Macaca fascicularis: one gene and its partners. The protein of the gene in region 1 interacts with the protein of each later gene in a pairwise test. Links are inferred from orthologs where the notes say so. Each region holds a gene or a part of one and is shown in the gene's direction. Other genes may lie near its edges. The genes, in order: HOMER1, ABI3 and C1H1orf116.

What was found.
Region 2: the proteins of HOMER1 (region 1) and ABI3 interact in binary tests that used the Homo sapiens proteins (3 or more experiments, as listed by UniProt). The two-hybrid records come from large-scale screens. The link is inferred for Macaca fascicularis from reciprocal best matches to the Homo sapiens genes HOMER1 and ABI3.
Region 3: the proteins of HOMER1 (region 1) and C1H1orf116 interact in binary tests that used the Homo sapiens proteins (3 or more experiments, as listed by UniProt). The link is inferred for Macaca fascicularis from reciprocal best matches to the Homo sapiens genes HOMER1 and C1orf116.

Annotation. Positions count from the first base shown.
Region 1 is NC_088380.1:83,351,085-83,353,429, reverse strand, and holds part of HOMER1 (homer protein homolog 1), read left to right. Parts: intron 1-1,013; coding exon 1,014-1,202; 3' UTR 1,203-2,345. UniProt on the Homo sapiens protein: Postsynaptic density scaffolding protein. Binds and cross-links cytoplasmic regions of GRM1, GRM5, ITPR1, DNM3, RYR1, RYR2, SHANK1 and SHANK3.
Region 2 is NC_088390.1:57,504,470-57,508,646, reverse strand, and holds the start of ABI3 (ABI gene family member 3), read left to right. Parts: upstream 1-1,308; 5' UTR 1,309-1,326; coding exon 1,327-1,443; intron 1,444-4,177. UniProt on the Homo sapiens protein: May inhibit tumor metastasis. In vitro, reduces cell motility.
Region 3 is NC_088375.1:64,856,956-64,861,092, reverse strand, and holds the start of C1H1orf116 (specifically androgen-regulated gene protein), read left to right. Parts: upstream 1-1,329; 5' UTR 1,330-1,384; exon of another isoform or gene 1,385-1,512; intron 1,513-4,137. UniProt on the Homo sapiens protein: Putative androgen-specific receptor.

The DNA of each region.
Region 1 (2,345 bases):
AATCACTGGAGGTCAAGAGTTCAAGACTGGCCTGGCTAACATGGTAAAACCCCGTCTCTACTAAAAATACAAAAATTAGCCAGGCGTGGTGGCACATGCCTGTAATCCCAGCTACTCTGGAGGCTGAGGCAGGAGAATGGCTTGAACCCAGGAGGTGGAGGTTGCAGTGAGCCAAGATTGCACCATTGCACTCCATCCTGGGGGACAGAGTGAGACTGCATCTCAAAAATCAACAACAACAAAAACAAAAGCAGTAATAACTTCTAAATAATTTTTAAGTGTACCAGAGTTTATTCTGTCAAAAAAAAATTGTTTAGTGTTTTTTTTTTTGTTGTCATGAACATTTGATTTCCTTTTATCATTTTTTTTTCCTTGGCTTGTAATATATTGGAACTGTTAACTTATAATTCTCTATTATGTATGGTTATTATGTATCTTCACTACAGTTTCTAGCAGCTGAGTGATACTCTCTACATATACATTTATTTGATATTGAGGCAAAGTAAAGAATAATTTACATATTCAGAGGATCCTAAAATCACATTTTAGAGAGTTAATTTCTTGTCTAAATCTTTCTCTAGAGTTGCCAGTAAACAGAAAAAGTTAATTTCTCTCTCTCTCTCTGCCTGCTTTCACCTGTGTTTGCTAATAATTATGCGTTAGGAGAAATAGGTGGACAGCAATAAAAATAATATCTAAGTGATCCATAAATAGGTCTTCAAGTCCGTTTTGGTATTTGAAGTACTTAGAGTGTTGCCTGGGACAAAGTAATGAGTCAGTAGATTTTTGTTGAGTAGTTAGATTGATTGATAACCAAGCCGGTCATTAAAACTGTATTGCTCTCTGGGATGGCCAAGTCTAAAATCTCCTTAAATTGTTCTAAATTAAGATTCTGAAGCTCATCCTGACTGTCAAACTGCATTGATTACCACAATATTGGTAATAACAGAGAGTTGTATTGTTTTCTGAGTGATGGATTGACATATATACATGTTACACTTTTGTTTCTGAAGGAAGTAGAAATTCGGAACAAAGACCTGGAGGGACAACTGTCTGACTTAGAGCAACGTCTGGAGAAAAGTCAGAATGAACAAGAAGCTTTTCGCAATAACCTGAAGACACTCTTAGAAATTCTGGATGGAAAAATATTTGAACTAACAGAATTACGAGATAACTTGGCCAAGCTACTAGAATGCAGCTAAGGAAAGTGAAATTTCAGTGCCAATTAATTAAAAGATACACTGTCTCTCTTCATAGGACTGTTTAGGCTCTGCATCAAGATTGCACACACACACACACACAAAAAAAAAAAAAAAAAAAAATTGAATATCACTCCTCCAGGAGGAGGATCTTTTGAAAATTGGAATTGTATATTTCACTGTAAATTTTAGAATCCAGCTTGTAGCTAGTTGGGGAAAAAAGAGATGAAAAACTTGAACTACAAATTACCTCCATGTATATTATTGGCCATAGTTAACTAGAAAGTTATAAATAGACACTTAATGCAATCTTTTTTCCTGATATTAGCCAATGGGAGAATTAACAATGTCTGGGTCACATCCCCTTTTTGTGTTCAACACAGTGAAGATTATCTGCTTTTTAAATTAATTTATTTACGATATCTAGAGCTGTGTTTTGTGCAAAAACTTAGTGATGAAAGCCTGTCTTTTGTTGTAATCTGAATAATTTCTCAGGATATTTTTGCACTGCTGAGAAGCAGTGCCATTACCAATTAATTCTTGCCAGGAGTGAGAGAGAGCTGTATCTTTAATTGAAATATACTATAACTGGGTGTATAGAGTTCTTCCCTTTTTTGTGCTGGAAGATATTTCACTCTGGTGACTACTCTGGTACACTCTGATGTTCTCTAATCTTGTCTGTTGTATAGTTTACTTTTCCATATTGATTCCATGTATTTATGAGAAGATACTGTCTCCCATTTTATTACACATTTTAAAGCCAACTAACGAAGGCAGCTGAGTCCCTCAGAAATTTTTCTTTTTAAATTTCTAATAAATTTGACACACAGTACTGAAATACAGCAGCCCGTCATTGACGGTCTGGTCTAGCAATGTTAAGTATATTTACAGAATATGCAGTTACATTTATTTATATATTTTGCAAGAAATCTTTTCTGAATGATCAATGCATTTCAATTTACGAATAATAATGGTTATTGGGGAACTGTTTATTATAGATAATTTTAAGGTGTATAGCTATTTTAAAGGGGATCCATTTACATCAAACAGCTGATCAGAGGACTCTATCTAAATTGTGATCGTGGCAGATAGAGATGGAGTTGTGTACTCTATCTGGCTCTACACATCAATCACATCTTGATTCAA
Region 2 (4,177 bases), on another chromosome or scaffold:
ATGTACTTGCTCACCATGCTGTGCCACTTAGTACTTGGGGCATGGCCACCTCTAATGCCTCTGTTCAAGCTTCTTTGCTGCCACACCTCCCTCTGAGTCCTGAATGTGGGTTCCTGAGCACAGGACCCACATTCTGTTTTTTTCTTGCTCTCCCCCAAGGACCACCCAAGGGCTATGCCATTTAACAGACATTGAGCTCCTGCTCTGGCTGACACCCATCCAATGACAAGGGACCCGCTGAAGGAGCAAAAGTTAAGGGACCAATATGGTCGGTGGGAGGTCCTCTTACTCTCCTGTCTCTAGGATGACAGGCTTGGTGGTAGGAGGGGCAGAGAGGAGGCCCGCGGTCCATCCTAACTTCCCTGCTCCAGGACCCAGTCCAACTCTCAGCTGGGAGCTCTAAGAGTTTGAAATCAGGACAGGATCCTGGACGTCGTCTGGTCCAAGTGTCCTGTTAATGCATGAACTACAGCCCATACCTCCTAGGCAGGCTCAGTGCTCTGTCCACCGCTGCTTCCTAAAACCAACAAATTGATCTGGAATTTGAACCTGGTGCTTCTCAAATCCAAGTCCTTCCTGTTGTCTAATCTGAGTTCCTCACATTACACTGGGTCAATTTCATCTCGTCCTGCCTTCATGAGCACAGAGCATGTAGGGCAGATCTTCATCACACACTACCCTTCGCAGGCTTACTAACACCCCTCTGGGACCTCTCTGGTCATGTCTTCCCGGTGTCCAACCCTGACCCCTCTTGCTGCCACATCGGCTGTTTTCTATTTTTGCTGTGCTGCCGTCCCACAGTCCTCTCTGGTATGACCAGTCTCCATATCCTATCCACCCTCCACTCCCCTGTCCCTTGGTGACTCATCCCCGAGCTTCCCAAGGAAGCCCCCACCCTCTGCCCTTTCCTCCCGCCTTCCATGAGTGGAAAATCCACCTCCACCCCCTATAGCAGGCCAGCCCCCTTCCTCCCCAGTCTCCCACCCCATCCCCCCACCAACCAGTTTCCTCTCCAGGACCAGGGAGCAATCACAGCTGCCCCGACCTTGGCTTCCTCTGCTGGGTGGGATTGGGGGCTGGGCCCCCAAATGGGCCCCTGGCTTCCCCCTTCCTCTGGGCAGGGGACAGAGAGGCACAGGCTCGGGGAGCAGGACTGACTTCCTCTTGTCCCGGAATGAGCATGCCTGCCCTTTGCAAGCAGGTTTGGGTCTCACGCAGAGGAAACCAAAAGCAGTAAGAGGGAGGGAAGGCAGAACAACCAATCAAGGGCAGGGTGAGACTCAAAACGAGCGGGCTCCCTGGGGAGCCAGACAGAGGCTGGGGGTGATGGCGGAGCTACAGCAGCTGCAGGAGTTTGAGATCCCCACGGGCCGGGAGGCTCTGAGGGGCAACCACAGTGCCCTGCTGCGGGTTGCTGACTACTGCGAGGACAACTATGTGCAGGTAGGTAGAGCGGGCGGAGGATTGACACCCCAGCCCCTGGAGGGCGGACCCTGAGCCCAGCCCCAAGTGGGGCCCTGGGAGCCATCCTGACAGGGCTTGTCTTGGGCCTTGGCTGAGAAATCCTCCCACTCCAGACTTCAGCTTCATCCCAGACCCCAATACTTAACTCTGACCCCATACTGCCCAAGCCCCCACTGTGCCCTTTCTGTCTCGCCTCAGAGATGTCTGGGACAGACAGTGCGATTCCATCCTGTTCTCAGATGTCACTGCAGGTTCATCCTTCTGAGTCCCCCAGGTTGATCCAGAGACCCAAAGCCTCCGTCCTCACACAGATGCTGGCGATCATTCTATTTCCAGGCCAGCTCTGGGTGACGCTTCAGAAGAACTTCCCAAACAGCACAGTGAACCTGAGATGGACCCTGAGTTTGGGAGAGTGGGGATAAGGCAGAGTAGGCTGGGCTAAAGAGAGGGGATCTCATGCAGAGGGAGGGGGATGGCCCACATGACTGCTGGGAGCAGGCTACTAGCAAAAGATAAGGAGGTAGCATTGTAGAACAGTTTTTAAATTGTGTGGTTGTCCTGGGGCTGAGAGTATAGATTCCTGGATTCAGGGAGGAGAGGCAAGGCAACTTAGCCATGATGGAAATCACTTCTGTTATTTCATTAATCTGTACAACTACCTTGTGAGACACGTATTATAATTCCTATTTTACACATGTGGAAACAGTAGCTCAGGGAGGTGAGGTGACTTGTCCAAGGCCGCACAGCTCCAAACAGCAGAGCCAGGCATTCCCGTATTTTTGCTCTTGTTGCCCAGGCTGGAGTGCAATGGCTCGATCTCGACTCACTATAACCTCCACCTTCCGGGTTCAAGAGATTCTCCTGCCTCAGCCTCCTGAGTAGCTGGAATTACAGGCATGTACCACCATGCCTGGCTAATTTTATATTTTTAGTAGAGACAGGGTTTTGCCATGTTGGTCAGTCTGGTCTCGAACTCCTGACACCTCAGGTGATCCACCTGCCTCGGCCTCCCAAAGTTCTGGGATTATAGGAGTGAGCCACCATGCCCGGCCAGTCTTTTTTTTTTTTTTTTTTTTCTTTTTTTGAGACAGGGTCTCCTCTGTCGCTCAGGCTAGAGTGCTGTGGCATGATCGTAGCTCACATAGCTTCACTGCAGCCTTGAACTCCTAGGCTCAAGCAATCCTCCCACCTCAGCCTTCTGAGTAGCTGGGACTACAGGCGCATGCCACCATGCCTGGCTAATTTTTTTTATTTTATTTTGTAAAGACAGGGTCTCCATATGTAGCCCAGGCTGGTCTTGAACTCCTGGCCTCAAGTGATCTGCCCACCTTGGTCTCCCAAAGTTCTGGGATTACAGGCGTAAGCCACCACATTTGGGCTTACCTGACTCCTGACGCCAAGCCCTTTCCTCTCCATCTTTCTGCCTCCCTACACGCTATGTGACTTTACGACAGTTTATTTGCACTCTCTGTACCCGGTTTCCTCTGCTCCCTGAAGAGCTGCAGGCTAACCTTGTTACCCCTTGGGCAAAACTTTATTTTTCTAACCTGTACTAACCGAACTATGAGAACAGGCATAGAGACCTCGTAGCATAGTAAGAATGTTGAAAAAAGAAATAAATGAGGAACAAGTGCTCATGGGAAATGGCAGATTAAAGAGAGTCAGTGATGACAGCAGTTAAAACTTTCTGGACCCTTCCTTTGGGCCAGGCATGTCACCAGCATGGCCTCCCTTCATCCTCATCTGAAGTCCAGTGAGGCGAGTCCCATTCTCACTTCACAATGAGGAAGCTGAGGTTTGGAAAGGTTAAGTCACTTTCCCAGAGGTCTCCTAGCTAGTGTCAGAGCCTGAATTCAAACCCAGAAATCTGATTCCAGAGCCCACTCCCTATGCCACTAACTGAAAATGCTACTCTGGGTATCATTTCGGTCTGTGTAGTTGTTGAATGACCACCTGCAGATGAGACAGAATGAGGCTTGCAAACCAACGCATCCTCCTAGCACAGAAAGGCATGTTCCCTCTACGGACAAGGATCCAAGCAGTCCTTTCCATTCCTTCCATAACTTCTGCACACCTCAAAGAGCTTCCGCAGGGCTCTCATTTGCACACACAGTGTTCACACACAATTTGGGGTCACAAAGACCTAAGTCCAGTTTCCAGCTCTGCCACCTACCAACTACAGGAACTGTGGCAAGTTCCTCCTCTGATTCTCATGCCTGCCTTCAGGGGTGGCTCCATGGGTTCAATATAAAAATGTATCAAAGCATTTAGCCTAGTGCCAGCCCCTTCAGAAGAGCAGGATAAATGGCAGCTCTTACCATGACTATCATCATCATTATCATTCATTGGAAAGATGGATAATAAGAATCAGTTCTAAGGAGGAGAAGCTGTCCTTGCAAAAATACATGGCGTGAGAAGCCTTGACCCAACTTGGAATCCTTGGATTCCTGCTTCTTTCATGCAGAACAATAACTACTAGAACACACAACCTGTTACCTTTCCTGGCCTTTCTGAGGATCTTTGTCTAGGCAAATGCCTAGGAAGTTTATGGATCTCAGAACTGCTGTTACCTAAGGCCTGATTCCCCTACCCTCCATCCCCATCTGCAGCCCCTCTCTCCCCACACCACCCAGATGCTAGGAAACCCATGGGGAATTAGGGAAGGCAGACCAGGGTCACCTGCAGAGTTCTCCGCCAGGGTTGACTGACTTTA
Region 3 (4,137 bases), on another chromosome or scaffold:
AATGGAAAAGGACGAATCTAATTGCTAGAATTACACTTGCAAATTATCTGTGTATTTCATGATTTCCACTTGAGATTCTCTCCAAAACAGAGGCAGATTGGCATTATGCTGATTCATGGCAATCTTGATGTTATATTGCCTGAATTAAAATCCCCACCCTGCCTCTTCCTAGCTACATGGCCTTGAAAAAGTTTTTTAACTTCCCTGTAAAATTTAGATATTAATAAATGTCTACTTTTTTAAGTTAAAGACTAAAGACTAAGATACATGAAAACGCTCAGCACAATACCTAGCAAATAGCAAGAACCTAATAAATTTTGGCAATTATTGTGTACATTGATTTTAAATTTTCTCCCTGCCCTTTTAATGCTAGTAAGTGGAATACCTCAAATCCTGATAGGTGTCAAGGATAACCAACCTCTAGGAAAAACCAGCTTCCAGTCAAAAATCATATCTGATAAGAGTGGTCTCTGTACTTGGAGGGAGATTTCTTCCCAAAAGCAGTAGATTCTTCTACCTACTCTCTTCTCCCTACAAGTGCCAAATGTCAGTCCACGAAAGGAGGTAGGAGTTGCTAAACTGGTTAGAAGTTTGTTTTGTTTTTATTTCATAATATGTATTGCCACCTTCCATGAACAACTAAAAGAGAGCAGAGGACCAAATGACAGAGTGCATGCTCTCCCCTTTCAAGCTGTCCAGTCACTCCTCCATCAGGATAGGGACCTCTCAGGGGATGAATGGTTTTATTTCCCCAGAAATAAATTAGGCCAAGGAGATTGTTGTCAAGCACTGGGGCGAGACTGGCCCAACTACAGCAACCCTAGCCTTGGGACACCCTCCTAAGTGAACATGAATGGAATTGCCAGACTTATGAGCTAGGAGTAGGCTTGGGGAAGAAAGTGACTTTCAACAGCTAGAAAAGCTAGCAGCAAAACTGACCACAAATGAGTTTAGCTTAGATAATTCAGGGGAAAACTAATCTCCTAGTGGAAGAAGGTAGTTCTAGATGAAAAACCTATTTCACGTAGACCTATGGAAAAGCACACTGCCCAGAGGACTGTCTGCGTTCCTTTATACCAACATTAAATATATATACTATCTCTGCCTGCTCCCTCCCTGCCACCTGTCCTTCCAGTCTCAGCCCAAACCAGCTCCTCCTCCTTCCAGCCCTCCTTTTTTAAAGAGCTCTTTATTAGCTCTAAACAGGGAAGGGGAGGGCATGAGATGATTGGCTAAGAGGGAGCAGCACCACCCTGCTCATTCCCCTCCCATTCCCTCCCTGAGGAAACAGCTGGAATGAGAGGTAGGGAGGGGAGCCTAGGATTGGCTGAGTCAGTGGCAGGGTGGGGGCCAGGCAGCACAGATGAAGCATTTACCTGTCTAGGTAAGTCAGGAGGAGGTCAAAAGGAGAAGAAAACAGTAGGAGGCAGGGGAAGCAGCCTCTGTCTCCGTCTCTGCCCTTTGAAATAAAAGGGTATTTCTTTCCTGTCTTCAGCCCCCAACCCAGTGGAGGTGAGTTAATCACTAACCAACTACTGCTTATCCTGCAGCAAGAGGAAGGGGTTTCATGGGAAATCAGAACTACAGAGGAAGGAAGGTGTCCCTCTATACCCAAGCTAGGGAGCTTTCCTATCTGTTCCCCAATTCTCTGAGTTCATTCTGGGGTCAGATCAGGTTGGTAGTGACTTGAGATTGTAGTATTTTTGTGGAGACCGGGGCTGGGAGGACCTTCTTTTTCATTTACCTCCTTAGGTTGGATAGGCATATTGTGCAAACAACACGAAAAAGAAAATAGATTTGTTTTGGAAATTTCCATCTCTGAACAATTGAAATTGAGTTGTGATTTTGGAAAATAACAGTTGAAATAGAGGGAGTCAAAACGGGGGAGAGTATCTTGGTTTTCCATCGCGATTATAACCGGAAATTCTCCCGTGGCTTTACCAACTCGGTGTCGATCTTTGTTTAAATAATGGGTGCAGTGTGTGTGTGTGTGTTTGATCATGCTCGTTTGATAATGGAGCTCTCTGTGGACAGGTGTGTTAGGCATGAGCTGCACTAGGTTGTTTGTAAAGGGATATAAGGTTTGGGCATGTGGGGAAAACTTCAACTCCAGCTACCAGCTCATCTTTGGAAAACCCATGGATAATCTAGCTGCAAAGCCAAGTTTATTTGGGTTCTACTCAATTAACTTTCTGACTCTGCCTGTTAATAGATGCAGAGACTGGCAAACAGAAAGCTACTTGGCTGTGCTGGGCCTCACCTACATGAATATTTCGCAGCTGCATGTCAAGTCTAGTTAGAGTTCCAAGTGGGGCTCAGGCCAAGGTAGTGTGGCAGAGTCCACAGACAGAGAATCAGACCAGGGTGGTGGCTTTGTTTTGTTTTCCTGCAGGTGTCCAAGTTGGCAGTTTGTGTGGCAGATTTACCTGCAGAAGGAAGGCAGATGTAGGAGTCGAGTCAGAGTAGCAAGTCGCCTCTCCATTATCCATCTTGGGGGGTTTAACCCTTTGGTCCCTAACTTTGATTCTTTCCCTCCTGCTGCAGAGAAGAGGGAAGTGGGAAGACCTCAGTGCCAGGCTCAAGGGCCTGGCACACACAGTCCTGAGTGAATATATGGGTTTTCCAGTCCTGACAACTGGAGATTCAGACTTGAGCTTACCTCACACCACAGAGCCAGCACCCCACACTCACTGACTGAGGGCTGCCCTAGATGGTGAACTTAGGAGTAAAGACCACCAGCAGTGTCTAACAAAGCTCTCCTATGCAGAGAGTATTTCTCCCTGCTCCTTGCCTCAAATCTACTGGTGAAAAGGAAGATGATAATGTTGCCTAAACACATACAGAAACTTGCCCATGTGCTCATGGAGACGGATATGCACATTGTGCAAGTTTTAGTCTTTCTGATATTTTTCTTAGGATATTTTCCAGCCCAAGGCACATCTCTGGGTAGTCAACAAGAAGCAGAGACACCTGGATTGAAAGATAGGAAACCTCTTTGACTAGTAGGCAGAGAGGCAGAGCTCTTGGAGGACATGTGGGTGAGTTCGTTGGAGGAGGAGGATGAGAGAGACCTGGGTCTGATTAGAAGGTGCAGATAAGCCAACCTGGAACGGAGCTGGAGCCCTCTCTCCACCCCACCCTCTCCAGATGCCAGAACTTCACCTGTTCTTTATTCCCTCTCCTCCAAGACTTGGCAGTATTTAGTATTTTAGTCAGTGGAGTAGTTAATATTTAATTCAGGATGGATGGCCCTGACTATTTAAGTGCTACATATTTCTTAACCCATTCCCTCCTCCCATTAAGTTCCCAAAGAGGTCAAGGGTTAAAAGATACCAAACTCTCACCTTGAGTGTTTTGTTTGTTTCTCAGTCTTCTTATCAGGGTTTCGATGGCTGCCCTGAGACAGCCCCCATCGTTCAAGGTTGTGAAGTCGGTGAAAGGAAATGCAGCTTTCACCTTTCAGATTTTTTAGGTCAGAAAACTAGGTATGGAGATGAGGTGACAGCACCTCACTCAGCTTTGGTTTCAGGTTCAGACTCCTCTCTGCAGGGAGTATGTAATCCCTAAAGACATGAGTTTCCTTGGCAGTTGGTGTCATTTCTTTACTGTGGAAATAGCTGCTGTTGGGGCAATACACCGGCCTGGAAGTATAAAGCTGAAGCAGATCATTTGTAGGGTTTAAGGTATGAAGTAGAAGAAGAAGGGGGTCTTAAGGCTTTTAGTATTTTAGTCAGGGGTGACTAGTAACCATTCTCAGGGGCATGCCCCTCTTGCATCCAGATAGTCCCTGAGATGCCCCGTGGAGGGCTGTCCTGTATATGCAAGTATAGGTCATTTCCTGTGTCCCTTAGGAAGGGCTAGTGGTAAGAGCCATAACTTTCTCACCTGTAAAATGAAGAAAATGTCAGATCCTGCCTATGTTTCCAGTTTATGCTGAAGATCTAATTAGCATATCTGAGAGCACTTTGCAAGCTATGGCATGCTGTGTTCTTGTGAAGCAGTACTTTTCCTACCACTTTTATCTCTTCCAGCTACTTGAAGGTATCCTAGGTTCTGAAACGAAAGTGTCATAGGCTTCGCTGGTAGGAAGGAGAGACTAGAAAACCTCTGTAAAGTCTAAAGCATACTTAGAAGCAC